Linked DNA regions of Arabidopsis thaliana. The protein of the gene in region 3 interacts with the protein of the main gene of each other region in a pairwise test. Each region holds a gene or a part of one and is shown on either strand. Other genes may lie near its edges.

Evidence for each region.
Region 1: the proteins of LSD1 (region 3) and DRP3B interact in binary tests that used the Arabidopsis thaliana proteins (3 or more experiments, as listed by UniProt).
Region 2: the proteins of LSD1 (region 3) and ZIP10 interact in binary tests that used the Arabidopsis thaliana proteins (3 or more experiments, as listed by UniProt).

What each region holds. Positions count from the first base shown.
Region 1 is NC_003071.7:5,955,486-5,965,676, forward strand, and holds the start of DRP3B (dynamin related protein), read right to left. Parts: upstream 4,624-10,191; 5' UTR 4,531-4,623; coding exon 4,162-4,530; intron 4,072-4,161; coding exon 3,789-4,071; intron 3,693-3,788; coding exon 3,664-3,692; intron 3,570-3,663; coding exon 3,468-3,569; intron 3,172-3,467; coding exon 3,103-3,171; intron 3,008-3,102; coding exon 2,948-3,007; intron 2,556-2,947; coding exon 2,442-2,555; intron 2,075-2,441; coding exon 2,026-2,074; intron 1,924-2,025; coding exon 1,814-1,923; intron 1,505-1,813; coding exon 1,415-1,504; intron 1,183-1,414; coding exon of another isoform or gene 1,180-1,182; coding exon 1,090-1,179; intron 952-1,089; coding exon 859-951; intron 776-858; coding exon 638-775; intron 431-637; coding exon 317-430; intron 223-316; coding exon 127-222; coding exon of another isoform or gene 123-126; intron 1-122. UniProt on the Arabidopsis thaliana protein: Involved in the control of mitochondrial and peroxisomal division and morphology.
Region 2 is NC_003070.9:11,172,043-11,182,233, forward strand, and holds ZIP10 (zinc transporter 10 precursor), read right to left. Parts: upstream 5,321-10,191; coding exon 4,682-5,320; intron 4,190-4,681; coding exon 4,040-4,189; intron 3,823-4,039; coding exon 3,517-3,822; downstream 1-3,516. Other genes in the region: AT1G31270 (uncharacterized protein), read left to right, coding at 6,307-6,387, 6,425-6,616; AGO2 (Argonaute family protein), read left to right, coding at 9,735-10,155. UniProt on the Arabidopsis thaliana protein: Probably mediates zinc uptake from the rhizosphere.
Region 3 is NC_003075.7:10,999,816-11,010,006, forward strand, and holds LSD1 (LSD1 zinc finger family protein), read left to right. Parts: upstream 1-4,701; 5' UTR 4,702-4,899; intron 4,900-5,019; 5' UTR 5,020-5,081; exon of another isoform or gene 5,082-5,196; coding exon of another isoform or gene 5,197-5,211; coding exon 5,212-5,335; intron 5,336-5,424; coding exon 5,425-5,529; intron 5,530-5,614; coding exon 5,615-5,646; intron 5,647-5,741; coding exon 5,742-5,787; intron 5,788-6,018; coding exon 6,019-6,158; coding exon of another isoform or gene 6,159-6,179; exon of another isoform or gene 6,180-6,258; coding exon 6,259-6,330; intron 6,331-6,422; coding exon 6,423-6,494; intron 6,495-6,581; coding exon 6,582-6,623; 3' UTR 6,624-6,973; downstream 6,974-10,191. Other genes in the region: TSF (PEBP (phosphatidylethanolamine-binding protein) family protein), read right to left, coding at 1,196-1,419, 1,678-1,718, 2,243-2,304, 2,950-3,150; AT4G20390 (Uncharacterized protein family (UPF0497)), read left to right, coding at 7,253-7,464, 7,556-7,679, 7,797-8,054; JMJ14 (JUMONJI 14), read left to right, coding at 9,189-9,230, 9,372-9,443, 9,781-9,858, 9,959-10,191.

The DNA.
Region 1 (10,191 bases), on a different chromosome or scaffold from region 3:
ATTATAAGAAGTCTCTAGCTGCATATCTGTACTCGCTTCATGGGCTTTCAGAAGCAGGGCCAACTACAAATATAGTAAGGAGATCAATGTAACAGAGTCAAATACATAACATAACGCATGACATGCCTGATCAGTGATGATTCCATTAGCTTGTCGGCCGAGAAAAGATCGGGTTTTTATTTGACTCCCGGAAGAAGCCGTCCTCTCAGGCTCCACAGTATCCTAGTTGTCATCAAAGGGAACATGTACGAAAAATTTCACAACTCGCAAAGAGAAACATAAAGCAAATATTAATTTCGCTGAGACTATTCCATACCCTTGGCCGCGCAACAGGATGCGGAATCCTAGAAGATTTGACTGTTTGCATTGCTTGCTCCACGGCTTTAGTTCCCCCGATAAAATTTGGGTGTGAGGTGTTTATATAATCCATCTGCAAATGGTAAACTTAAATATTTTAAACTAAATTTAAAAGAGGCACTAATCAATAAAATTGAGAGTAATCAATTTTCTTGAACTTAGAACATGGTCCTACTCCACCAGTGTGACAAAAAAAAAAATCAGTACGCAATCTAAGTAAATTTAATAATACTGGCCATTAGATTCATGATTGTGTGGATCTTAAATTATCCATACATACCTCCATTTCAATAAGATCTCGGATCATTGCCTGCGAAGGTTCAAGACCTTCTCGCAGAAAGTTCCCAATAACCTCATCCATGCGCTTTTGCAGGACTGGAAACCGCTGTAACTCTTTCATCATACACTGATGACTAATCTGTACATAATTTTTCAATTTAAAATTCATGGTCATGTAAATCAACAGTTAGCATCATAAAGAAACGCAAATAAAAATAACACCTTTACTAGCTCATCGAAGATGAACCTAGCGCACTGAAGGCTGGGATCTAATAAACGAGATATTTGCCTCCTGACAAGAACTTCAAATGGAACCTATGCAGATGAGAATGAAAGCAAGAGATACTAATCAGAGTTGCTGTAAAAGTAAAAAACTCAAGCAAAATAAGTATGTGGAAAGAACAGATAAGCAAAAAAATGCTCCCACATGCTTAGGGATATAGATAAACCTACATCTGGAACAAATAATGCAGATCTGGGACCAGTTGCATTTTGTATTGCAGTCCGAATATCATCAGCTGTTAAGTCTTCACATGGATCAACCTCCTTCAGAGCAAATTGAGAGAAACTAATGAGTTTAAAATCATTAAACCCCTATCAAGTAGCACTGACAACATCAGTAGGTAAAGATCTCTATACAACAGAGAATATTCAGATCGATTTTGAGTAATACAGATCAGATGCTTGAAAGATGGACGGATATGAACTAATATAAACACTGACTATATTTACAACTGAGCATAGTTCTACTCATACAAGAACTGCAAACATGCCACACTTCCAAGAACTGAAAACCTGAAACGAACTGTCTGCCTTCCGTGCAAATAGCCCCACTAACTAAACAAAGATATCTACACACAGTGATTACCTAACTAAGATATAGCCTAATGCTTAGCGAATCAAATAATATCTTATAAATAGAAAGTCATTCATACGAGTATAGGTTTTATATCAATAGCAACAAAATGAATCTCCTCCATTGAAGAACACATAGGTGTATAGGTTCTATATCAATAGCAACACAATGAACCTCCATTGAAGACCACAAATGATATCCCAAATTAAATTATGAAAGTATTACCTAACTAAGATATAACGTAATGCAAAACTTGGAAAAACAAAATAAAAGGCAGTTATAACTGAGTGAAGATCAAGGAAAATTATAAATGTAGCAAACCTCTAAGCTCTTAACAAATACTGATTGGAAAATGTAGAGAATTCTTGCTCCACCCGAGAGCTCAGATGTTGACATTTCTTTACTTTTCCCTTCCAGGGTAGAGGAGTATGCTGTTATAAATAATTAAGCCATGGTGAGGACCAATACCAACCTAAAAAGTATAAACTAACATCCATTGTCTAAACTGAAACAGAACCATCTTCAGATATTACCTTCGCAGTATTTTGTAATAAAACTGAGGAGAAGAGCTCCTTGACCACCCTATGAATTTCGAAACAGTTATAAACCAGAGTAAGCTGTAAGTTAAATAGTCACATGTTGTAGGCATATTTTATACGGAAATGAAAGAGCATATCTAGATATTTAGAAAAAATTTGTCAGAAATATTTCCCTACATATCTTGACATCTTCAAACACTAACTCTATAAATTACCGATAGTTTGTTTAACTGAAAGTAATCAGAAAAGGCTCCCAAGAATATCAAGAAGAGGATCACAAAAATGAATAAAATTATATTCAAATACGAAAACTGAGCAAGAAATCATACAACGCAAAAAAAGCAAATAGCAATGCCATCATTGAGAATGGATGGTATATATAAGGCTAAAACTGGCCAAAACCCACATACCCTAGACTCTGTTATATCCCCATAGCTCTCATACTCCTTTGCTGTAGCAAACAATGCATTGTTGATACGTGACTTTAAACTAGGAAGCAGTGCCTTGATGTGTTGAACAAGGACCTGCAAAGAAGGGAAAAAGAACTAGCTCCCATCAGACAGCTCATAATTTTAGTAATAATATTACCAGCTATGAAACTTATGAGATGCCATCTTTAGAAAAAGGACTACTCCATTCACAGAAAAAGAATCCACCATATGAATCAACAACAATAGTGAGAAGATGTCGCTGAGTTTTTCAAATATATACACACTAATGTCCTACAAAGATCCTAGCTCCTCCTGCTAAATGAAATAAGAAACATGAATGTTACATACAAAAGCCAATTTATTGTCTCAATTAGAGACACATCGGAAAATCCAGAAAGTGTATTCCTTATGACACTCGTGTCTTGACTGCATAACAAGATAATCATAACAAAGAAATTAGACGATCTCAAGACTGCAGATAATACCTGATTTAATTTCTTTGCCAGTTGAGGGACACCCAAACGATCTGTGAGACCGCTGTAAACCTGTTTATTAGAAAACAAACCAAAACAGAAGATATAAGCAGAAGAGTCAAGGAAACGCTATCAGAAAACAAATCGAGAGAATGATGCAGTCTTACTGGACGACTACGAAAGAACTTTTCCTCTGCAACAAGAGCATCCTTGATGCTACGGTTCATCAAAATATCCTGTTAAGGAATTAACACCCACATTAGTTATTGCCTTGCGTAGAGGGCAGTGGCCACATAGTAAGAGCAAACGAAAAATGAATATAGAGTAGAATGGTTTGGTAACACTAAAAAAAAGGTCTATATTACAGGTAGTATCCAAAGGGAAAAGAAGAGTCATAGAGATACAAATTGTGATAGCAAGAAATAAGACACACAAGCACAAAAGTAGAAGTGGTCACAGCTCATAATGGTAGGACAAGAACAATATACATCATAAGTAAACATGCGTAAATTTTTTGAAAAACAGGGTTTACCTCTTGACTACGATTTACAACTCCCACGTATCCAAGTCGAAGAGGAATTGTTTTTCCCAGAAGGTGATTCCGAGCATCAGTACCTCTGTCCATAATATCCAACTGAATCAGAGAGAAAATAGAGCAATCGTGAGAAATAGAGTAGTTTGCCATCACAGCTAAATCTAAAGCAAACTTATGAGGAGAGAAATAGCACCTTTGTGATTACACCTATGGTTCTATGACCTGAGAACAACAAATTCATATGCAAAACGAAATGTCACTATGTAGTATACCAATGAAACTGATAAATTCTCAATCGACTTGCTTCCAAAGACTCACCATCAGGATCAGCATTTCCTGCGATTTGTAATGCATCTGAATTTGCTAAATCAGTATTAGCAGGGCTAACAGCAAGTATCAAGCAACTAGGTTCCTTAATGTAAGTCAAGATCATCGTTCTTATACGCGCTTCGATATCACTTGGCTGATCACCAACAGGAACCTTAGTGATACCAGGAAGATCCACAAGACTAATATCCAAAACATTAGGTGAAAATATCTTCAAACCAATCGGAATATCTGATACACCTTTGTTCTCTCCTGATACTCTATTAGTCTCCGCCTACAAACAAATTGTCATATTCATACAATTAGACGATCATCATCAATAGATTCTATGACGAACTTAGAAGAAGAGAATGAATAAACAAACCTCAATCTCACGGCGAATCTCAGAGAAATCGTAGATACGTCTAACAGGATCGTGGTGAAGAAACTCGCCCCACTCTTCATCGGATCCACCATCAGAGCTAGGTTTCGTCTGAACAAGCTGGAGACGGAGAGGTCGGCGCGTGCAAATATCATTGCCACGAGGAAGAAAGTCACGGCCGACGAGAGCTTCTAGAACGCTGGATTTGCCACTGCTTTGACTTCCGACGACAGCTACTTGCGGAAGAGCGATCGTCGATTGACTTCCTAGCTGAGCGAATATGTCTTGGAGCTTGTTCACAATCGGAATCACGGAGGAGCCTAGTGGCGTTACGGCGGAGGCCGACGACGGAGGGAGATCGTCGACGGACATTGATTTGATTCGATCTAAAGATGGAAGTAATTTGAAAAAGGGGTTAGGGTTTTGAGTAGATTTGTTGCAAAGAGGTTAAAGAAGATCTTTCTCGATCACGCGCCGATTAAAGTAAATCAGAGTTAATAATATCTCTAAATATTTGTGTAATTTTCGGAGTTATTTCTTTTTGAGAAATTATGTAATTTTATGTTATTTTTTAAAGGATAATATATCATCTTATTTGAGATGTAGATTGCACTATTTTTTTAAGGGAGATGGGAGATTTGCAAAACTATCCTTATTCTAATAACCTTTTGTAAAAATGTCCTTTCCTGAAGGCCATTTTAAAAACTGCCCCTTTTAATATGGCAAATGACTGTCTTACCCTCTGAATGATTAGGTTTCACGTTCGTTTCACAAACTTCTTCGTTTTGGCACAAACTTCTTCGTTTTCCTCTCCGATTTCACTCAAAATCGCCGGCGAATTTTCTCTCCGATTTCACTCAAAATCGCCGACGAATTTCCTCTCCGATTTCACTCAAAATCGCCAACGAATTTCCTCTCCGATTTCACTCACAATCGCCGACGAATTTTCTCTCTGAGAAACCCCAAAATCGCCGACGAATTTCCTCTCCGATAAACATGTTCTTCGCTGAAGGATTCAGATCATTTCTCTACGACGCAAACAATCCCCAGAGATATCGATAGATCCGACGGTAACCGTTTTTATAATCGATTTTATAGTCGATTTTATAGTCGATTTTATAGTAGATCTGACGCTGTTTCATAACATGTTTTGCAGATGGATTCAGAGAGTGAAATCCTTGCATTGCCTGAACAAATCTACAGAGAAGGTGAGGAATCTATTACACTGGGAACCGTTCAACAATACTCGGATTGGAATTTAGTTAGTAAAGTAGAGGAAGCTTTAGGCGAGTATTTATTTCAGAAGATTAGAAGTTCGTTTCTTGGTCCTCTAGTTGAATTGGGACCAAAAATGAAGGCTAAGAAGGGAATCAGATTTTCTGGAAAAATCTTTCACTATCTCATGCAGCAGAGAGTGAAAACAAAAGGATCAACTCTTTGGTTTAGAGTTGATTCTCAACCTATCCGTTTCTCCTTGAGAGAGTTCTATCTCACAACAGGTAATAAAGTTTTACAATCGTTTTTAAAGCTTAATTAACTGTCGTAGAATGATTTACAAGGCATTTGCATAACTGTTTGCGTAGTTTACAATCGTTTTTAAAACATAAGTAAGTGTCATAGATAATTTACAAGGGATTTTAAAAGCTTTTAAAAGGGGTTTACTTCATTAACAATCGTTTAAGAAGCATAAGTTAGTAGCATATAATGATTTACAAGGGATTTTAAAAAGGGTATGCATGGTTTACAACCGTTTTTAGGCATAAGTAACTAGCATAGAATAATTTACAAGGGATTTTAAAAGCTTAAAGAAGTGTTAAACACGTTTACAAGGGATTTTAAAAGCATAAGTAAGTGTCTTAAAACGATTTACAAGGGATTTTAGAAGTGTTTGCATAGTTTACAATCGATTTTAAAACATAAGTAAGTGGCATAGAATATTTACAAGGGATTTTAAAACCTTTTCTAAGGGTTAAACATGATTAGCAATCGTTTTTTAAGCATAAGTAAGTTGAATAGAATGATTTACAAGGAATTTTAAAAGCTTTTAGAAGGGTTAAACATGATTTACAATCGTTTTTAAAGCATAAGTAAGTGTCATATAATGATTTACAAGGGATTTTAAAAGTGTCTGCATGGTTTACAATCGTTTTTAAAGCATAAGTAAGTGGCATTGAATGATTTATAAGGGATTTTAAAAGCTTTTAAAAGCTTTTAAAAGTGTTAAACATGATTTACAATCGTTTTTAAAGTATTTACTATAAAACCTGTAATAATAGTCTCTACACTGTCTTTTGTTCATACAGGAATTCAATGTGAACCTGTTCATAGGGAACTTCGACGAAAGGGAAAAGATCCTGTAAAAGAACCATACTTTTGGGCTAGTAAAGGATCCTATACTCTTGGTGATCTCGAAGATCGATTGTTTTTAAAACCTAAGGAAGGTGAACCTGCTGTTGAAGATGAAGAAAAGTTGTGTCTTGCTGCAGTAGTGTTGACTGAAGGAATTCTTTTGACACCATATGGAAAAGAGAAGATACCTTTGCCAAGATTGCAGCATGCTTCTGATTTTGAGATGTACACAGCCCAACCGTGGGGTAAAGAAGCATTCAGTGTTCTATCAAATTCAATTCTGAGAATGGACGAGAAAACTTGGGCAAAAGAGAAATATGATTTGAGAGGATTTGGACTAGCGCTAACAATATGGGTGTTGAGCGCAGTTCCAGCATTTGGTGCAGCATATGGAGTTAAAGATAAAGAATTCCAATCTGAATATCCATTGATATTGAAGTGGAAAAGCACTACTACTCCAGAGTTTTTCAAGATCGTAAACCTTGTAAATGATGTTTCTGAGGTAAGCTTTTGTCTATTTACAGAATTCTTTAAATGGTTTTTAGATTTGAAGTTCTGCTTTCTCAAGATTTGTAATGTTATTGTATCTTCGCAGATGGAGGTGAATACAATTATTGGAAACCCAGAAGAATTCAAGTCTTTAGTTCCTGATTTCCACACAGACGACATAGAATTCCAACATATTTTGGGACTTGTTAATATGGGCTACAGATTGAAGAAAACTGAATGGAATACAAGATGCGTTGATGTTTGTGCTGCCCTTGAAGAAGTAGGTCAAAACAAAATCAATAACAAAATATCTGATAGCGAGAAGCTTGACAGGATTTTGACAATCCTTGAAGATCTTAACAAGAGAGTCGAGATGATTGAGAGGATTTTGGACATTAGAATGGAGGAAAAGAATAATCAGAGATCTGAGGAAGATGAAGAAAGAAAACAAGAAGATGAAGGAGTAGAAAGACAACCAGAGGTAATTGTAAATGTTCTTTAAAAGCTATTTGAAAGGAAATGTTTTACAATGTATTTTAAAGGTTAAATACGTAGTAAACCTTTACAATGTACTCTTTTTTTTCGCAGGCTGAAGAAGAAGGAGGACTAGAAAGAAAAGCAGAGGTAATTGAAAATCTTTACAAGCTATTTTAAAGGTCTACTAATTATATTAATGATTGACTTATTGTTTTTATTTTGTTGCAGAATGACAACGAATCATTTGAAGATTCAATCCGAGAGCCAAACACACAGAATGGGAGCTATCCGGGTGATGATGAAAACACCCAACGTGATGTTGGTGATGAAGTAGCTGAAGAATCATCAAAAGTACAGTAATTTATATCTCTAAAAGTCTTACAAAAATGATTAGTATCCTTTTTATAATTTTACATTCTGTTATCTTTTCAAGGATAAGTCTCATACTCCACGATCCTCTACACCAAATTTCAATAGGATAAGAAGAGAGTTAGCAGAGGAAGAAATGAGGTTAGCATTTAAAAAAATTTGTATTATCTAACCAAGTGTTTATAATATTTTTTTCAAATCTTTAAAAGTTTATCTTTCATGCAACTTCAGAACAAGAGAGTTAAACCAAGTGTTCATGCTGAGGATAATCTTAAAACAAGAAAACAGGTTAGTATTTGCAACAGTACTGTTTTTAAAATTTTTCAATTGTCTTGTTATGATATTTACAAGGGATTTCAAAAGTACTTTTAATTGGTGTTTTTTACTATTCTAGGTGCCGAGAAAGAGGCAGAAACAAGTTGATAGTGCTGATGTTGATGTTCCAACAAGGAAAGAGGTTAGTATCTAATTTATTATGATTTTGAAAATTTTGTTTACAAGGTATTTTAAACATCTGTTTTTTTTATTCTTTTTGATAGGCAAAGAGTAAGAAAAGGAAAATTATTGGTAATGATGGTGATAACGATGATAATGATGGCGACAATGATGATTTTCAGCCCGCTCCGCAAAGAAAGAGTAAGCGGGGTACGGTTCCTTCCATTCATACCCAAGCACCTTTCACAGCTGAGAAGAAGAAGCATCCAATTTTGCATCCATTTGCGAAAGTTGATGCCACAAGACTTGAGAAATTGGCTGAATGGAAGAAGTCAAGGAAAAACAAGTGAGTTTTGTTAGTAAGATAGAGAGTTCTTTTTAATAATGGAAGAAGCATCATTGTTGACTGTTTTGTTGTTGTAGGCCACTATCAATCGCGGGAAATATTGTAGATACAAAGTGGTTTACAACCCTAGAGACGCCAGGAAAAGCAATAACAACAACGGTATGTCTAAAAATCCTTGTAAAATTGGTAACCCATGAATTACATATAGTTTTTAAAGCATCATTAAGTTATTTACAAAAGGGATTTTAAAAAGGGTTACATGGTTTATAAACAATTTTAAAAGATTAGAAAGTGGTAAAGAATGATTTACAAGGTATTTTAAAAAGGATTTACATGACTTGCAATCGTTTTCAACGGATTAGAAAGTGGTAAGGATTGATTTACAAGGGATTTTAAAAGATATTAAAAAGGGTTTAATTGATTAACAATCGTTTTAGAAGCAGAACTTAGTGGCATAGAATGATTTACAAGGAATTTTAAAAGCTTTTAAAAGTGTTTAACTTGATTTACAATCGTTAAAAAGCATAAGTATGTGGCGTAGAATGATTTACAAGGTATTTTAAAAAGGGTTTGCATTTTTTACAATCGTTTTTAAAGGGGTTTTCTAATATGATAATTTTTATTTTTGTTGTGTTTAGCATGTTGATGCAGCTTTGGAGTTGATGAAAACGAGGAAGGAAAGCAATCCAGAATTATTCAAAAACAAATCAGTTGTATTTGTGGGATCGTCTTTCTTAAATGTGATTGATGAGTCATACATGGAGTTTTTGGATAACAAAGAGGGATTTCAGTTTCAGTCTGAAGAAATCAGTAAGCTGATAATAGAGGAAGAAACCAAGTGCGTATCGGTTCCTTTCTGTATCAAAGGAAAATGCTAGGTTGCCTTACTCATCCACTTGGAACAGAAGACAGTTTGTATATGGGAATGTGCACCTTCTTATTTAATAGAAGAAGTCAAGAAAAAATATGTTGCTGCCTACTCTATAGCTATGCCATACATTGTTCGGAACATCCTCAAAAAAGAAGACATGGATGTCTCTCCATTTAGCATCAAAGTCCTGACCACTTTTCCTCAGGTAACTTCTTTAAATATATCATAGTCTTAGAAATGAATATTCCGTAAGTCTTGACTTCTATAACTTCTTTGCTTAAGTAATTCTTTTGGTTTTTGGTTGTAGGCTCCTAGAAATGAAGAGTCTGGTATCTATATGCTGAAGTTTATGGAATGCTACTCAATGTATACCAGCCATTCAAACTTTGAAGGGAACATAATTCAAAACGTTAGGAATAAATTGGCTGCTGACATCTTCACTGAATTAGGGTCAGTCACTTTGTAGAAGTAGCAGACTTCTAATCAAAAAGTAGTGGAGTATAAGATAGATTTATCAGCTTTTGTTTCTTATTTCATAAAACTTTGTCATTTGAATATTTTATGAACATCTGTATGGAACAAGATTTATGAAGTTTATTTAGTTCAACTCCTGTTTTACAAAATTACTGTATAATGGTTGTTTGGGTTAACAGGTGCTTTGATTTGAATGGAAAAGGACTTTAAACATGTTTTTAAA
Region 2 (10,191 bases), on a different chromosome or scaffold from region 3:
ACCATTTTGTTTTCCAAATTTTTTTTTTAAGAAACCCTCTTAAGGATTCTACCATTGAACCATAAAAATTACAAAAAACTCTAAATTACAAAACTATCAAAATTAACCAATAAACAATTTGAAGAAACTCATATTAGAAACCAACCAATGTGGGTGCTCTAAGAAGATAAGTTAAGAATCCCAGAAAAGAAGAAAAGATACATATCTCCTTTCAAAAAATAAAAAATTTCTACATATCTCGAAACTGACTACATGTTCATATAAAGAGATAATCATCTATTTGGATGAAATCTCTCACACAAAAACCTAAAAGACCCTTTCTAGTATGAACTTCACATGGCTTGATCTTATTACAAATGTACGTAGGCAACCTCCATGATGTGCAACTATATCATAAACAAAATTCCAATTAGTCAATTCTCTCGTGGTGAAGCTCGAGTCTTGTTGAAATCATCGTCAAACCCGACTTGATTTATCATCCAATTTATCTGTGCCGGATTCACTCGCACAATTGTCGTGTGTCTAAACCAATTTTGGTTTTTGGATCTCACATTGTTTTCTAGAGGTCGGTCACACATTTCAAAAAATTTGAAAGATTTCATGTTATAAGACTAAGAATTGTCATTTGGAAATTGATTGTATCACTATCAAACAAAAATAGAGAATAGATCTTTTTTTTTATTAATAATAATTATATGAAGAATATATATTTCAGAGTTACATCTATTTTAAATATAATATTTATTTAGGAGCTTTAGCTTTATGACATTTGCAATGACATTTTTTTTTATGTTTTTTGTTGACATCTACTTCTGAATCTATCATTGAAGGTGAATGAGTAGGAGGTCTATGTTTATGACACTTGCAATGACATTTTCTTTTATATTCTTTAGTACCGTCCATATATTCTTGGTTGAGTACTCCTTCTTCTGAATCTAGCATTGAAAGGGAAAGATTAGGAGGACATTTAATGCTAAGTCCTTTCTGGTCTATGCATTCTATGTTGGCTCCTTCTTTTGAATCTATCATCGAAGGAGAAGGAGTAGTGGATCTATAACATTTGCCTACACATTCTTTGCCTTCACTAGCCTCGATTGTTATGCTTTGCTCTTCAATTTATTTTAAGAAAAAAATGTCAAATTAGTATACAACTGGTATTATCATGACATACAAGAATCTAAGAAAAAATAAATTCATAAATATAATAGAACATAGATTTAAGCAAAAATACGCTTGAATTTAATTTAGAGCCAGCATAAATGATCACAAACTGCTAAACATAATTGGTTAAATTATGAAAAATCTTGGAAATACTTTCACCAATTTTTGAAATACCAATGAAAATTCTCATTTACTTACGGTCCTAAAGTAAATGTTGGTCATAGCTAAACAATGTTTGTATTTGGATACTTGATGAGCTTGGTTTGTGAGAGTACTAGCTAGTCTTGAGGCCATTTATATATGGGATGGAAAAACAATCTTTTCACTTTTTAAAAAAAAATGTATTTAAAATTTCAGATTTTGTATATATCTTGATTTTTAGTTTTTAATTTAGACACTCATTCAATGATCCAAGATACATAGTCTATTTTTCACAAATACAATTACGATAATAAAATCACAGATTTTTAAAATACAATTACTATAATAAAATCACTGGTATAGTATCCTATTGGGAGTTATTTTGTTTTTTTTTTTGTTTTTTGGCAAAGGGGAGTTATTTTGTTTAAGAAACAGTTTTATTTTTTAATTTATTTGAAAATTTACTCTATATATTAAAAAAAAATCAATGTAGAACAGATTTTTTTCAGTTATAACTTTGTCTAATATAGAAAAGACTTTGTTTTCAGTTATGAGTCAGTCTTATGATATGGAGTCTATCTTCCACAAAGAAAAATATTATATAATATATATACAGTTTTTAAACTGTGTTTTACCTTGTATTATATTCTAAAAAACAGCTTTTTTATTTACTTTGTTAAAACTACTTGATTTAATAATGTTGAGAAGGCAAAACAAATATATATCACACTTTCTCTATTGAGCTATAACTCATATCTAAAGTTTTACTTTACATCATAATCATCTTATGCATAATTTAAGTAACGGATTTTAGAACTTGGATCAGATGAGAAGTGTGTGTACTAATAATTTTTATTATTTGCATATCTACATATACATTTTTGCAGCCTTTTTGTGAAATAAATCTTGGAGTTGAGACTTATTTACAATGGCTGCCACTAACTTTTAATTATTGGTTTTTTTGGGTAATAAATTAATTAACAAACGAAAAATATTCCAAATATATTCTAATCTCATATGTCACGCAGATATCTCCAAAATTTGAATTAGATTTCAGCAACTATTTAAAACAAAAAATGTTTGACAAACCAAAATACAATTGAAATCCCTTAAAATGAGCAAAACACACCTAAATACATTCTTTATCTATACAATAAATCTTATTTCTCCAAAATTTGAGCTAGATTTTGGCAACTATTTAAAACAAATATTTGTTTGACAAACCAAAATACAATTGCAATCCCGTAAAATATTTATTTTAATTATATATTTAAATTAGCGGTGTACCGCGGGTTTTTTTACGGGATAGATTTGGCGGGACGGTTTGACAAGACGTTACTTAATAACAATTGTAAACTATAAAATAAAAATATTATATAAATAGATTTAAAAATTTGCAACTTTAATATATACTAATTTAAAAAATAAATTGTTCTCACGGTATACCGCGGGTTAAAATCTAGTTCGTTTACATATTTGATTCTAATATATCTAACGCCTACGATATGGTGTTATGTCAGTTGCATTGACATTTTACTAGAACAATTTAAATTAAATTATGAACAATAGAAAAGTTATATGGATGCCCATTATACGGCAATTAGTAGATCCTAGAAGATTTAATCTCTAACATAAACTCTAATGTTGTATTTCAATGTATATGTCATATCTTGTATAATTGATTGATAACAGAATGCACAATTCCCTAAAATCTCTTTGTTCACAACAAATTAGTATATGTATCTTGATGATTTATACTGCACATATATGATTATATATTTAAATATTTATATTTAATATACTGGTTCAAGTTGGAGATAAAAAATTTTAATTTACAAAAATAAGTAAATAATCTATTAACCCTTAAAATGTACATGCTAGATTCTAGAACGATTAAATACCATCTAGCGATTTATTAAATATTGGTAATTAATCTGCATTCCATAAATGTCAAGTTAAACGTACGATATTTACTAAAAACTTGTGAAAATGGCATACTACTTAGTAAAATTTTAAATGTAATATTGTGGAATTAGTATTGTATTAGTTTACCACTATCCAAATTCAACTTCGCATACGCTTTTATTTAGATAAGACAGCTTTTTATATACATTTATTAGCTAGTACACAAAATATGTGCCCAATATTTGATGTGCAAATGAGAGAAAAAGTCAATACATCTATTTGTAAGCTCCGCTCTTAACTTAAACATCATCAAGCCCACTTGGCCATGACGGACATGCCACCAGCACCAAGCAAAACGGCAGCATATGACTTTAATTGAAGCTTGATGCTCCTTTGCATTTTTTGACCCATAAAATCGGCAGCTAGAAGGTCAACTAAAGCCATGTAGATGAGTAGTCCTGCCGAGGAAGCGTTGAGCAACCCAACTGTTATAAGCGATTCAGGGCTATTCTCTTTGTATGTTTTAGATAGTGCCATCCCTAGAACCACTCCAAAAGGCGTCGTCACCGCAAAAAAGAAAGCCATCACCGCCTTTTTAACCCACCCGTACTCCGCCTACATGTATTATCAAGTTCTCATCATATATATGATTTCATATCAATTCATTCAAAAGCACGACGTTTTTCAAGAAATCAAACCATGTGGAACTTTTTGTGTTTAAACCAAGAAAAGGAAGAAAAAAAAATCATGTGGAATTTAGTTTATAGAACCAGAATGGATGGGAGTAATTACTCGGTCCGACTAATAAATTAAGTGGAAAGGAGGAACTCACCTGAAGGATGCAACCGCCGAGACCCATGCCTTCGAACATTTGATGGAAGCAAAGCGCAGCGACGAGTCCTTTGATGGTGCAAGTATTGTTAGTGTCTCCTACCGATAGTCCTATCACTATCGACTGCACCACTATTCCTAGCTCCAATACCTATTCCATTTTATTCATTTCAGCTACTCACTTATTAAATCATAATTAGTGTAAATGGTTGTCACTCAAATAAAAGCAAAAGATGAAATATAATTAGTGGAATAAATTAAAATGAAAAATTACTTGTTCCTTTTTTTTTTAACAAAGAACTGTGTTTTATTTTTATTTTTCTAACTAACACAACAAACAGGGTAACAATTTTGTTTTACACTATGCAACCTACAATTAAAATTTGAGTTACCAGTTAACCTTAGAAAAATGGCATATTAATGCCTTCGTATGTGATAATGTGAATAATCATTTTTTTCCTATAAACGAACCAAGTTATAACAATTTCACTTAGCTTTTAACACAAATGTTTCTCAATGTGAGCATTTATAAAAAAACAATTTATCTGGTTTAATGTTAAAAAAGCATTTTTGTAATTAAATCAAGTTAAGAGAGTTTTATTTTTACAAAAAAAAAAAAAAACGAGAGTGAAGGAATACTAACGATTGCAAGAATACGATACCGCAGAAGCTGTAAATAAGAACCAAGCTCTTTATCATTCTCTCCATGAAGATTGTGAGGAAGAGTATGGCTATGAACATGGCCATGAACCTGTACGTGCCCTATCTCTTGGTCAGGAGTCTCAACGGATGCTACGTCAGCACGTAGATCTTTCCTTCCTGACTTGGTGAAGACGCTGGTGGTAATAGAGTCAACCATGAGCGTGAACACGGCAGACATCATGGCTACAAAGCCGGCGAAAGGAAACTTGTGCCAGGGGTTATCGTTAAGACAAGGAGATGAAAGCATCTCGAAAGAATCAGGCAAGACATGCATGAAACCAGTGGAAAGGATGATTCCGGAGGCGAAAGATTTTACGATGAGGAAGTGAGATTTCTCGGGTTGGAAAGCGGGAATTGATCGGGCAAAGAACGGGAGGCAAACACCGATTAGACTAGTGATGAGAATTGAGAAGATTGATAAGAGTTTGAGATCTAATGCTTTGTTTTTGTCTATACATGAGTAGTTGGATTTTGATTGGCAATCTTTATTGGATTGAGAGAGAGCTCCCGGGAAATGCGAGATGGAGAGTAGGAGAAAGAGAGCGATGGAGGCAGAGAAAATGACATGAGATTTAGTCATCTTTCTATTTGTTTCTTGTGGAGTTTTTTGAGTTTGATACAAAGTACATTATGTCTTAATCTTCTTATATAAGACAAGACTTGAACCCTCGACCTCAATCAAAGTAAGTGTCGACATTACTAATTAATCAATTGTCAACATGTTTTGTTTAGAAGATATTGAAATACTCAAAAAAAGTCTAAACTAATTCTAGGCATACACACACATATAAATTTCTTGAATATGTTCTCACTTGCAAAATAAAATAAATCATGATAGTAGTTCTTGGTTATAACTTATAAAGATAAAGATATATATAGAGAAAAAGAAATTCAATTTCATATATATAGTCATTAAATCTTTAGTATTAAATAAAATGAACTGTAATTAGGTGTTATATTTTTCTCGTTGTATACGGGAGTAATAAACTAAAAGTAATCAAAAAGGTTAGATATTATTGTATAGGTCAAATTTCTTGACACTTGATCAAACTGTATAAATATCTATGTTGGGTTTAATATTACATGTTGAAAAACTTTACCTATCATCATGTTACCCACGTTATACAAATATCGGCATATGGATAAGCCGTCACACTCCACAGTCCATATATGTACTTAGTGTACGTTTTTAAGTACATGATGTAATACAATAATAGTATTCTTTTTTATTGTCAAAAAAAATTATAAACCCTAAGTTGACTTCTAACTTTTTTAAAGCTGCTAATCCATGTGGATGAGGTATCGGAGGAATGTTTCAACAAATGAACATTGATGTGATTGTCTTACAACGACATACTAAGCTATAAACAAATTGATCAGCTTTATCAAAAAAAATTGATCATGGGTAGAGAAGGATACATAGAGGTTTTGAGCTCGGCTTGACGCGAGACCTAAGACTCGTACGAGGAATGACAGACTTGTCAGTTTTGTGTAACCAACAATATCATAAATATGTTAGGATTTAGTAAAGAAGAACACAACAATTGAAGCGGGAAAAAGAAGACAATGCCAGCTCAGCTTGATACACGTGGATATGCAGGACCACAAGACAAAGAATACCCGTTTTGCTTGTCCGCTAAAGCAATGGTGTACGGAGGAGACAACTCTTGTCTTGTGTGTGAAGGCAGAAGAGCCGTTACGCCTGAACCAAAGCAGGCTACAAGACAAGCTTGGAGGCTACTGCAGAGGAGCGTGTAGAGGAGAGGAACCGAGAAGGATCCAGAAGGAGACTAGGTTAAAATCTCTTGCTCTATTTAAGTTGAGCATTGTAGAGAGAGAAAAGTTAAGAAACACAGAGGCACTTAATCGAGAGTAAACTTGTATTGGGTGTTCTTGGGGAAACAGAGAGTGAAAGAGAGTGAATCTTAGTTAGCTTTGTAAGGGGCTGAGAGGGTGAGAAATCTCTTTGTAAATCTCTAAAGGTTGATATAGTGGATTCCGGGAGAGAGTTCCCGGCCCAGACGTAGCACCGTTGGTGTGAACTGGGTTACCATTGTGTGTGTGTTCTGTTCTGCATTTCTCATTACAAAGGTTCTGTTTTTGGTTCTAAGTCGAAGTTGGTTCTAAAGCTGAAACGTTCTTGGTTTGTGGTGTGTTAATCTTCACAAAATATATAACTTCAAACTTTAAAAGAAGGAAAAAAAAATCGGTGAAATTTATTTGAAAAAGCAATTTGGAATAGGTCGAACAGAATGTTATAAAAGCTCGTTGTTGACATATATATAATTCGTACGAATGTACTTCGCTGACTTTACTTCTACTTACATCATACAGAATACGAATCCTTTTGATAAAAGTTATTAGTCGTGTTGATTTCGAAATCGCACAACCACTGTTATTATACAATCACTAATCCAAAACCACCTCATTCGTTGTTAAAGCTAATATAAATTCATCCTACCAAAAAAAAGCTAATAAAAATTTATTTGGAAATTGCAACGAAAGATCTTAAAAAGTTTAATGTTTTATATATTCGGATTATGTTATGATTGGTATATGAATCGTTTTAGTTGAATTGGTATATAATTTGGTGGTCAAGTAGGTTTGCATAAAATTTAAATACTAGCTAGCTTTATAAACTTACATTATACATAAGCACATGCCTCTCATAACATATATTGGATTTTGGCCTTTTGGTCGTTTGAGTCAAGCAATTAAAATTTTATTTGAAGAATAAATTTAAACTATCAATATTCAATCATGCCAGACGAGTCGTTAAAAGTCAATGGAATTATTGGTTGATAAGATGAGATATTTTCGATCGTTCTTATGACTATCTAGATATGAAGATGAGTCATACAAGCTATGAGTTCAAAAACGGTGTAATTTTGCCTTGTTTGAAAGGACACAACAATTATGAAATTGTGTTAGTTTAATAAAGGTTTATGAGTCTTTAAGTCAAGACGACGTGCATAATCATATGGAATGAACAAATAATTAATCTTGTAAGCTTAATATTGTTACTTTGCTAGTAAGTTCTGAATTTAACTTTGACCAAAACTAAAAAGTTTTGAATTTGATATTCACTTTGTTATACGCATATTTTAGAATAGCAATGAAATTGGAAAATTTAAAAGTAGTATTGATTTTTTTTTTTTAATCAAAGGTTTGTTTTCATTCCATTAGAGTAGCTAACACATACAAGGATAAAAGGACTCTAAGATCCCAAAATTTAGAACAACATAATAAAGGGTATACCCCAAAATTACTAACATGAAAATAAGAGAGTAGATAGAGTTAATCGACAAATTATCTTTTGAGAGCTTTGAACCAAAAGCTAAGGGGCTTTGTAGAACATGTAAGGTCAAGGTTTGTCGAAGTTTCTTCCAAGAGCGAGTCATTGGGTGAACGAATTGTTAATGTCGAGAGATGAAATATCGTTGATGAGGGGGCTAAAGATAAGCTTCTCGCCGACACGAGGAGAACTACACAAAATAGTGATTTAGCAACTGTTCGGGCAATGGTGGTGGTGTCGCAGTGAGGGTTTAAGGGCATTTGACCAATGTTGAGCAAGTAAACAAACTCGCAACTTACGGTATTTGGTGAAGCTATTATAAGGGTTCGCACATGGAGAGAGTGTAAAGCCGTAACATAATAGGTGGATCCTCTCTCATATTGATTATGACTTCGATGATGCTAAATCACAATTTGGTATTGTGCATCCGTTCACAAAAGTTAATTAAATCATTCGAATTGTATGTTCTTTGGCGACCCGTACGATACTTGTTTGTTGATAATCCACACACATGGGCTGAGGAAAGTTTTAACCTACGGCCTAAGTACTAATCACATTCTTTAATCGAACTTAAGGCCCAAGTGCTAAATCACGACACATTCTTTTAATTTCATCAGAGAGACAATAACCGTAACAGCGCAACAAATAACAAACTTTAAAGACAAAATGTATTTCCAAAGAGCAAACGTGAAACAGAAAGATCGTGGTCATAAAGACAACATCGTGGGTTCAAGATGACTAGATAAACATGAGTTATGGACCTTACGGTTTTCCAAAAATCCATTTTTTAACCATTCATTATTGGATTCTAAGAATTTTTACTAATTTCTTAACAAAATCCAAAATCTCATTTCAATGGGTTTTTTTCAATTTCCTCTACGAGATCCTTTTTTCTTTCAATTTTCCATTTGATTTTTTTTTTTTTTTTTTACTTTTGTTACAAAATCCAAAAACCAAAAACTAAGGCCATGAATGTTTGTAATTTTAAAAATGGTTTTTGGATTTTGGTTTTTGGTTTTTAGTTTTTGATTTTCTTGGTTTTTGTTTTTGGTGTAGATTTTAGTTTCTTAAAAACTTGAATGGTAGTTTGTTTAGATTTTGGTTTTTATGTTAATGGATAATATTTTTGTAACAAAAAAATCTAAAAATAAAATAAAAGAATGTAATGGATGGTTTTATGATTTTGGTTTTCTTTGAAAAATTGTTAAAACACTCAAACACTAGATTCTCTATTTTTTAGAAAAACTTATTTTTTTCAAAATCTTGAATGGATATAAAATAGATTTTGAAAAAAACTAAACCAAAATCTAGTTTAAAAACCACACCCATTCAAGGTCTTAAAACTAAAATATTTATGTATTAGTTTTAAATTACAAAGATAATAAAATTGAGGACAGTTGAAAAAGAAGAAAAAAAAGTTTGTATGTATTTGGAAGTTATTTTTCTCAAGTAGAATACTGTGAAAGACGATTCAACATCCCTTATTTTACGGTTGTGTCAAGGAACATTCGAGAACTTTTTTTAATAACTCCTTAAGGGACAAGTTCTCTCTGTTTTTCTTTTTTCAATAGCTTCTCTGACACTTTATTCTTTCTTTCTGATATTATAAACCTCCGATTTGGTTTAGTTCAAAACTAGAAGCAGCAAAATTCTGAACACGTAAAGCTTTGTTTCACTCAGTGTTTCCCGATCAGATCCAATGGAGAGAGGTGGTTATCGAGGAGGTCGTGGTGATGGCCGTGGTAGAGGTGGCCGTGGTTATGGCGGAGGCGGAGGAGGAGGAGAACAAGGTCGTGATCGTGGCTACGGCGGCGGAGAACAAGGTCGTGGTCGTGGCTCAGAGCGAGGCGGCGGAAATCGTGGTCAAGGTCGTGGTGAACAACAGGATTTTCGAAGCCAGAGTCAGCGGGGACCTCCGCCAGGTCACGGTGGCCGTGGGACGACGCAGTTCCAACAGCCTCGACCACAGGTGGCTCCGCAGCCGTCGCAGGCTCCGGCGAGTTATGCCGGTTCAGTAGGAGGAGTCGCTGGTAGAGGCGCGTGGGGTCGTAAGCCACAGGTTCCGTCTGATTCGGCTTCTCCGTCCACCAGCACCACCGTGGTTTCTGAACCCGTTCGTGGTATATATGCTCAATTTTAATTTTGTTCGAGAACTC
Region 3 (10,191 bases):
TTGCAACCATTTTGTGAAATAAATCCTCAAGTTGGAACTTATTTACAAAGAATGCCATTGGCATTAATTATCATCAATTAATTAATATTCTTAATTATTAGCATTTCCTTATCTAATATATCTCCATCAATTCTAATTACTTTTAAAAAAAAGAAATTTTAGGACTTTATTAATATTATATTTTATTAAAGATAAATATTATAGTTATTTAAAGTTTATAAAATATTTAGAATATTTAACGAAAAAACGTTAAGAATATATATTATATATGAAATCTATAAAATTAAATAACTATTTCAAAAGAACACTTTTAAATTGATTTGAATTATAAATCTTTTAATAAAAATATTATTAGAACAAAAAGTAATAATGTTTAATTTTACCGAACTGGATTAGATGGTGGGACATGTTTACAATATTATAATGTATGGATTTTATAACAATTAAATAACCATTTGAAATAAATTTTTAAATTAATTTAAATTATAGATCTTTTAAATTAAAGTATTATTTAAACAAAAATAACAGAAACAAAATGTTTAATTTCACTGAACGTGGTTAGATGGTAGGACGGGTTTTGGGTCGACAGTAATACGAGACGGTATAGCACGGGTGAAATCCATTAGATATGTTTAGTTTCACTGAACGGGATTAGATGGTAGGACGGGTTTGAGTCGATAGTAATACGAAACGGTATACCACGTGTGAAGTCCTAAATATAACAATCAAAATATAATTATATTATCTTAAATACTAAACAAAACAATTATAAAATAAAAATATAATTAAATTTTAAATTATTTAGTTATAATCTAGATTTTAACTTAATGAACTGTACGTTATTGTTCTTATATTTTAAACAGTAAAAGTTAAACATAGTAATTGTATACTAAATAATATACAGATATAAGAGTTGTATATTCAGAAAATACAAAATATTAAATCATATATTTTTAATCGACTAAACAAATTATATTTTTATTCTTAAAAAAACAAAATAGTCTCGCGGTGTACCGCGGGTTAAAACCTAGTTATTACATTAAAAGTGTAAACTACTTTACATCGATGTCAGCATATGCATCATTTTTTTTAGCTCGTATCTTTAAATTCTTATTACATTGACATAGATGCTTAAATACTTCATTAAGGGAATATTATACGATTAGATTATTAGTTAACGTAAGTAGGTACGCATCTACGTTCTTCTTCCCCCACAGCCATTCTCCCTCTGGCAGTTGAAGTAAGAGGCAGCCACAGGAAGACCAAGATTGTAGATCTCAGCAAACTCACGAGTGTTGAACTGTTGGCGCCACCCCGGTGCATAAACCGTTTGTCTTCCGAGTTGCCGGAACAATACCAACACAATACGATGAATTCCCGAGGGGGGACGTGGACTCTCGTAGCACACCACCTCATTGCCTGATAAACAATCATAAACACAAATATTAATTAGCCCTTCCTAATTTGTCCACTAGGTAAGTGTTTTGTGTCGCTTATTTTATATAGATTAAAGATTTGATTGTTGCAACATACATATAAATTAAGAAGGCTATATAAAAATAGATATCTTCTTAAGAATATATATGCTCCATGCTAACACTATTCAAAGCCTAAGCTTGGTGATATGAGTTTTATCTATCTTACCTAATGTATCTATACAGAGTTACTTAAACTTACCAAAGGCATTTCCAGTGGTGGCAGGTATATCAGTCACCAACCTGTAACGAGAGTATTATCCATTAAAGTTAAAGATATGGTGCAGTGCAACCTGCAGATAGTTAACTAAATTCGACTAAAAAACAAAGCATGCATCAAAGTTTTTGAAAGTTTCGTCTAAAGCATGTAGAAAAGGTCAGACTATGAAGAATAGACGTTTGTTGCGTGCAAGCTATGATATAACATGACACACACACACACTAAAACAAAAACTAACTCTGACCACAAAGTCATGTTCTATTCCTGTTTAAAGTCTCTATGTTGGATGTATACGTAAGACATCTTTTTTCTTGACAAGTTGCTGCTCTCTTAAAGTTGATTCTGTATGTCCCCTTCTATTATTAGTAAAAATCTAAAATATCGTTTTTTGTGTGTCACTTGAGATATGTATTGAATCTCTAAATTTTAAAGTCTTTTTCTAATTCCCATATATACCTTACCTATTTGTTTTCTATTTATACTCGAAAATAAGTGTGATGCACGATCTAAAGTTAAGTTAAATGAAATGAAGAGATATGATACAAACCAGTGGAGATATTCTCGTTGGTGAGGGTTGCTTGGACTCGGCACATCTGGATCCACCATAACCTTTATTAAACCCATCAACAACCGTATAAGAGAGAAGATCGATTATGAATATATTAAAGCAATCAAGAAATTAAATCATGAGTTTGATTTTTTTTTTTTAACTCTTGAAAAGTGATAACACACATTAAGACGAAGAAGTTAACCAAAAGTTAATAGAAAAAGAAGTAAAGACGAAGAAGCTTAAATTAGAAAAAGGTAATAGTAACATTTTCCATTAATATAAGGGTATCTAAAAATACTGGCTTTACTATTCAGATTCAAAAGTCGTTAAAATAAGTGTCAATTAAGATATTTATGCTTTTCTAAAGGTATGTATCCTAGAATAAAAAAACTAAAATAAAAATAAAAGCGAAACAAAATCAAGTTAACCGTCTCTTGAAAACGTAATATATATAATCGAGAAAGATTCAAAATTGATTTAAAATAATAATCAAACCAATAACAGTTATGCATGCAAGAAGTTAGAGGAAACGCAGCAGGTATATAGATGAGGCTACGAAAGAAAAGAATGATCAAATCTAGTTACGCTTAAATTTGGATATATCTAAGGTTTCTTCGTCAATATATGGAGCTTACGAAAACGAAAGAGTGAGCTACGAGGAACTAAATCAATGAAGATAAGAGGAATGAAGGAGAGAAGATCACCAAGGTGTAGAAATTTCTGAAGTCGTCTCCTCCAATCTCCACTATTGGTTTGTTCAGAACTTGAGAAGGCCTTAGATCCAAGCCATTAGTAACCTCTCTATGGCCATAAGTGACCTTAAGAGAGACCAACCTCGTGAAAGGATCAAGAACATCTCCAACAACACTGCCGACCACAAGAGGATCTCTACGACTTAAAGACATATTTATCTTGGATCTCAAGTATCTCAATCAAATGTTTTGCTTCTTACCTTATGAACCCTTACTTGCTATTCTTTATATAACGTTTTGGGAATTGCAATAATTAGCTATTTAGCTTTATTCTCTCCAATGAAATCATTACCAGGGTCTTTTCGTGTATAGTTTCGAGAATCTACAACTCGTTCAACGTACGTATATCACTTATAATTCATGTTTTTTTTTTCTTTCCTTTTTTCTAAATTTATAGTATTCTTATTCCAAAACCCACCAGTATAAAACAGAAATAATCATATTCCAAATTATACATCATCCACTTGTTTCTTGCTAGCCACTAGTATGTAATTTATTCTGACTTATCATTGTAACTTCATGAACTATTTAAAATAATGTCACAAGCATATAATATGCTGCATATTTGCGTACGTCACGCATTTTGCGTCACATGTCACTCATTTAAATAGTTAAGGACACTACATTACACCGATTATGTATGATGTTAATGCATTTTAGAATAACTCCTTCAACCTAAACCATCATATAAAAGTATATATGCTCCAGATAAATTGACGCCATAATTGTTCACATATCTGGTTGGTGTGTACATACGTACTAGACTCTTTTTTTTCTTTTCTTAATGTAGTACTAAACTTAATTAATACCATCAAAAATATCAATTTAACAAAACAAACCAGTAAAACTTTTAAAACAATGGAGTAAATCAAATAAAACAAGTAAATTAACAAATAGACACAAGGTAACAGAAGTATAATAACGACAGAAAAGTGAACAATTGGCCAAAAAATTCGTTTTCAAACGTGATTTCAAAATTGTCTCCAAATCTTAAATGTTGATAAAGTAATTTTTTTAAAATTCATTATACCTTTCAAAAACAAGTGTATTACCTAAAAGCTCAACCGTGTATTCTTACACTCCAAACAAATTTAGTTCCCCAAGTTTGGAAGACAAAAATTTCTAAGAAATTTCTGACAAAACACATGAGAAATAAACCGATAAAGACTTCTAAAAACTATTGCAGACCAGTTTCATTTGCTGACCACAAAAAGTCATGAGAATACAATTAGCTCAGTGATTCTTGATATTTCTGGTACCTAACAAAAAGAAAAGTGTGTGAGGTTAGATGGCTATGATTTTTGCTCTCCAATTTATTGTCCATTTCCCCAATTTGTAATATGAAATGCGCAAATTACTCTTCTTCCGATATGAATAAGCAAACGAAAACATACGTGGGACGTTATGTTCAGAACATTTGATTAAAGTTTATATGCGATTTTCATTTATTTATTATGAATTTTTTGTTTGGCAGCATGTACGATTTTTCATTTAACACACAAATATTATAGAATTTTCATTGGTTCAAAGGGGTAGACAAAAAATAATTTAATATTATTACACCATTTGCAGAAAATTAGAAAATATATTTTTACCCATAATTAATTGATCTATGGACGTATGCTTGGCATAAAAATTCATATTTAATTAGCAGAAGCCAATCGCTGCGTTTGTATATACGCGTTTATGACCGAGAAAAAAACCCTTACGCGTCATGTAAAAAAAAAAGAAGCGTAAATTACGAAAAACAGAGAGATAAATCCGGGCATTGAGATTTTGGAGATAGAGAGAGAGAAAAATCGAAATCTATTGTCTATCTCCTCAATTTGGATTGGATTTTCTGCATATCATCGCTCTAGCTTTCGCGGGTTTTGGATTCGATTCCTTACCCTTCTCCAATCGGTAAGAACAAGCTCCAAAGTTTGTTCCTTTTTTTCAATTTTCGCCAATTCTGTAATCTCATCATTGTCCTTGTTTGTTTGTTTGATTCAACACACAATTCTTGTTTTGATTTGGATGCAGAAGTTTTTGGCTTTGAATTGGATTTGGGTTTCGTTCCAAAATCAGCTCTTTTTGTTAATCAGGTGAGTTTTTAGGTATTTGAATCTCCAATTGCTTCCTTGCAATGACTAAGTATTGTGAAATGTTTAGGGTTTCATCTGTGTGGGTCTTGTTTTGAAGCAATTTGTGTGTGTTTGGATGAAAGTAGCAGATATGCAGGACCAGCTGGTGTGTCATGGTTGTAGGAATTTATTGATGTATCCTAGAGGAGCATCTAATGTGCGTTGTGCGTTATGTAACACTATCAACATGGTTCCTCCTCCTCCTCCACCTCACGGTATCGATTTCTTTGTTGAATTTGAATTGAGGATGAGGTTAATATGCTCTGCAATTGTATTATAACTTGGGTTCTGATTCTGAATACAGACATGGCACACATTATATGTGGTGGTTGTAGAACAATGCTTATGTATACGCGTGGGGCTAGTAGCGTAAGATGCTCTTGCTGTCAAACTACGAACCTTGTGCCAGGTATATTAATAATATCGTGACATCCATATCAATCCTTTTAAAGACCATGTATTATATTGCTTTATAAGGTCTTTTAGTCCTTTAGAATCTTCTTTCACACTTTTGTTTGATAACATTGTTCTGTGGAGATGATGCTTACGTAACGTATTTCCACTTTTCCCAAAGATGTATATGAATCTGAATTCTGAAAATATCTGGGATTTGTAAAGCAGCTGAAAGTACTTAAAACAAAGCTTTTAGATGGTCCCGGTGGACTAGGTAACTACTTGTTAGAGCTAGTAGGGTTTATTATTGTTTTGTTTGATCTACCATTAGATTCTTATCTTTAATTAGCGTCTAAGCTGTTGTCATTTAGCTGTATGATTATCATTTATCCATGACTGCTTAAGAACATTGCTGATTACTTCGTTCATTAGTATTTCTTGGATTTTTCTAGCATTAACATTGCTTGTTTTCTGAATCTGTGCGTGTCTTTTTTGAAATCGACAGCGCACTCCAATCAGGTTGCCCATGCTCCTTCCAGTCAGGTTGCGCAGATCAATTGTGGGCATTGTCGGACGACCCTCATGTATCCTTACGGTGCATCATCCGTCAAATGCGCTGTTTGTCAATTCGTAACTAACGTTAATGTGATTATTCCTATCTATTAAGCCACCTCTGCATGGTTGAGTTAAGTATAGAGATCTTTCTGTTGGAAATTTTCATTTCTGATTCATTTTGCATCCTTAGATGAGCAATGGAAGGGTACCTCTCCCAACTAACCGGCCAAATGGAACAGCTTGTCCCCCCTCTACATCAACTGTGAGTTATCAAATTATGAATTTGTAATAGTTCTGTATATTCTTATGGAACTGGTACTTACTCTGTTCATCGATTTTTCATTTTACCAACAGTCAACACCACCCTCTCAGACCCAAACCGTTGTTGTAGAAAACCCCATGTCCGTTGATGAAAGCGGAAAGTTGGTGAGTATTTCTATCACCTGTGTTCTTCTTCTTATTTACCACATTAGAGGAAGATATGACAAAGTGACTGAAACACACAAATTGCAGGTGAGCAATGTTGTTGTTGGAGTGACAACTGACAAAAAGTAATCAAGAATGAGTGAGATCTTAAAGATCAAATCCAAATTCTTCCTCTATTCCTGCGTTTGGTTTGTGCATATTACATACGCGGAAAAACTGTATGTTATATATCTCTTGACTCCTTTTTAACCCAAGAGAAAAAGCTTATCAGAATCTCTTGTTACTGCATTATTGGGGTTTATTCAAAGTTGAAGACACAAGGTTTTTGCTCGAATAATTTGGCATTCTTTTGCTCCATGGAACTTGACCTTCTCTTCTGTTTGTTGACTTCTAAAACTCCATCGGCCCTTGTGGCATTGTTAATGTATGTATGAATATAATCTGATACACCAACCAATCATTAAGATTTGGGTTTGAAATCTGTCTCTTCCGTGGATGAGATATGCTACATGTCACAAGAACTGGTCTTAGCTTTGGTAGATAAGACTTGTCTTAGAGCAAGTCTTGAAATCTGGAAATCTATTTTGCAGTAATCTTGTCACAACAACCATAACCTAATCAGTCAGTACCCTCCAAGAACATTAAAGTTAGATGATCCGACAAAACCTCTCAACAAGACCAAACTCTTTCCATATAAATACTCTTTAACACTGACACAAAGTTTCATCACTTTCTCTTGATCACTCACTGCATCAACAATGGCCAGAGAGAAGATTGTGGTGGCTGGTGGTACCACAAAGAGCTGGAAACTACTCTTGGGGCTGAGAATATTTGCATTCATGGCTACTTTAGCTGCAGCCATTGTAATGTCACTAAACAAAGAGACAAAGACCTTGGTTGTGGCCACCATTGGTACTGTTCCTATTAAAGCCACTTTAACCGCTAAGTTTCAGCACACACCGGCTTTTGTGTAAGCGAGTAAAACCCTATACGAAATCGATTCGATACATATTGAAAGCAAAATGTTTTTGAGTTATTAACATTGATTCTTGGTTTTACAGGTTCTTTGTTATAGCTAATGTAATGGTGAGCTTCCACAACTTGTTGATGATTGTGGTTCAGATTTTCAGCCGGAAACTGGAGTACAAAGGTCTTCGTCTCCTCTCTATCGCCATTCTTGACATGGTATAAACATTGGTTTTCAAATCAATTTACTGGTTTGATTTCAATTGAATTAGTTTGAACGTTTGGAAAAAAAGCTAAACGGTTTCTTGATAATCTAAAAAAACGTTGGAAAAAAAGCTAAACGCAACACTAGTATCTGCGGCTGCAAACGCGGCGGTGTTCGTGGCAGAGCTAGGGAAGAACGGAAACAAGCACGCCAAGTGGAACAAAGTCTGCGACAGGTTCACCACTTACTGTGATCACGGCGCAGGAGCAATCATCGCAGCATTCGCCGGAGTCATTCTAATGCTCCTCGTGTCCGCCGTCTCTATTTCCCGCCTCTTAATCAATTCTAAAAACTTCTCCACCACCGCCACCACAACCTCCGTCGTCTAAAACATCGTGGCCAAAAATTCAGCAACATGTGTGTGACCATTTTATAGATGTTGTGGCTTACTTTGTGTGTTTGTCTCTCAAGTCACTAGCAAATTGTGTAATGCACTCCTTTGTTCTATCACTTTCACATTTGTATTCAAGTTTTCATTTCTCTCTTATCTTTTTATATAATTCTAAAATGACAAAAAAAAATTCACAAAGTATATAGTACATTGAAACAATGAGAAAAATCTACAATAGATGATTAGATAAGACCAATTCAAGATAATTTATACCTTTTATTTCTCAACTACTTCTTCTATTTATGGAAATATAATTCTAATCAATTGTTAGTTTTTTACATTAAAATGAATTATATCAACCGACTAAAAAACAAATCAGTATTAGTTCTATCGCATTGTAGTTCCCATACAACTTAATTTTTGTGTTGTAAATAATGATCCTACTGTCTCTAATAAATGTGAATCAATAATCATAACTATTGAAATCCTTTTCTTTTTGGTTAGTAAAAATGAAGTGTAAATAGTATAACTGTTTAATTTAGTTCAGATATACAAATCAACAAAACTACTTAATTTGAAGATTAATTCAGTTTTTTTTTTTTTTTAATTTTCTGTTTATAAAACTACTGAATTTTATTTGGTATAAATGGATTGAAGATTTTATTACAAAACAAAATCACATTTGGCGGCTTCTTCTTTTTATGTTCTAAACCCTTTTCTTAGATCGGACTCCAAGAAATCTACTTGCTTTAATCGTTAACCTAATAAATTCTTCTCTAAGTTTTTTTTTTCTTAACTCATCAAAGAAGGAAAGAAAAAAAAAAACCTCTTTCACAGATATTTAACCAAAAGGTTTTAGATTTATACTATACGTTACAAATAAAATTCGAGAGTCAAATTCAATCTTGGGAAAAGCTTTTGTTCCGAATCTTGGCCCCTTCACGAAGGTACACTTATCATCTCACTCTCTATTTCCAGACACAAATCTATATGCGTTCTGGGTTTTTTTAGGGTTTCGAAAACGGCACTGCATTTCATCAAGTAAGGGTTTGTTTTTTATTTAACAGATCTTTGTTCTTCCTTAGGTCACGGGTTAAAAGTATCGATCTTTGTGAACTTAATCTCACTGTAAATGGATCAGCTTGCATCTCTAGCAGAGTCTGTGGCTATGGAGGTTTCTCATCTTTATCCTTTTGCTTCTTTGATTTGTGTTTTTTGCTTTCTCCTCCATTTGTAACCTCTAATTTGCATGTTTGCTAGATTCAATTAGCACTGTTGCAGTTTCTGAATGTGGAATTGTGTTTATTTCTTGCAGGAAGATTCTGAGAAACAATCGATTAAAGGAGAGAGTAGTCTTGAACCTGACTCTACTCCTTCTAGTCCTAAAGTAAGTTAATTGGGTTTCTAGCAAAGTATTGGTTGGGTAAAGAGGTTGATGGCTTATCTATGTGCTAAACCCGTTTGAGTCTGAAAATCCAATCAATTCTAGTTTTAATTAAGTTCGTGGCTTTTGCTTATCAGTATCTTCCTTCAAAGATCTCATCTTTCTGAGAGTCGTTCTTATTGTATTTGTTTTAGATTAAGCAAAATCTATTTACTTGGGTCTTAAGAATTTAGCAATCTCATCTGGATCTTATTAGATTGTTTGTTGTGTTAGCTATCTGATTGTCCAAGAGCAGATGAATCTGATTCATGAATGATATCGTTTTGTTGCGTATTTGAAGATAACTGCTAGGTGGAATCCATCAGAAGCTTGCAGGCCTTTGGTTGATGACGCTCCCATCTTTTATCCCACTAATGAGGTATTTAAAATACTCGAGTTGCAATTTTGGTTCTGTCTTGGTAGTTAAATTGTTATCTTATCTGAAAATTTTGATCCTTATGATACTGCTTCATGGTCAGGATTTTGATGATCCACTTGGTTACATAGAGAAGTTGCGCTCTAAAGCAGAATCATATGGCATATGTCGAATTGTGCCGCCTGTTGCATGGAGGCCCCCTTGCCCTCTGAAGGAGAAAAAAATATGGGAGAATTCTAAATTTCCCACCCGGATTCAGTTCATTGACTTGCTTCAAAACCGAGAACCGATTAAAAAATCTACTAAAACCAAGAAGAGAAAACGGAGAAGAATCTC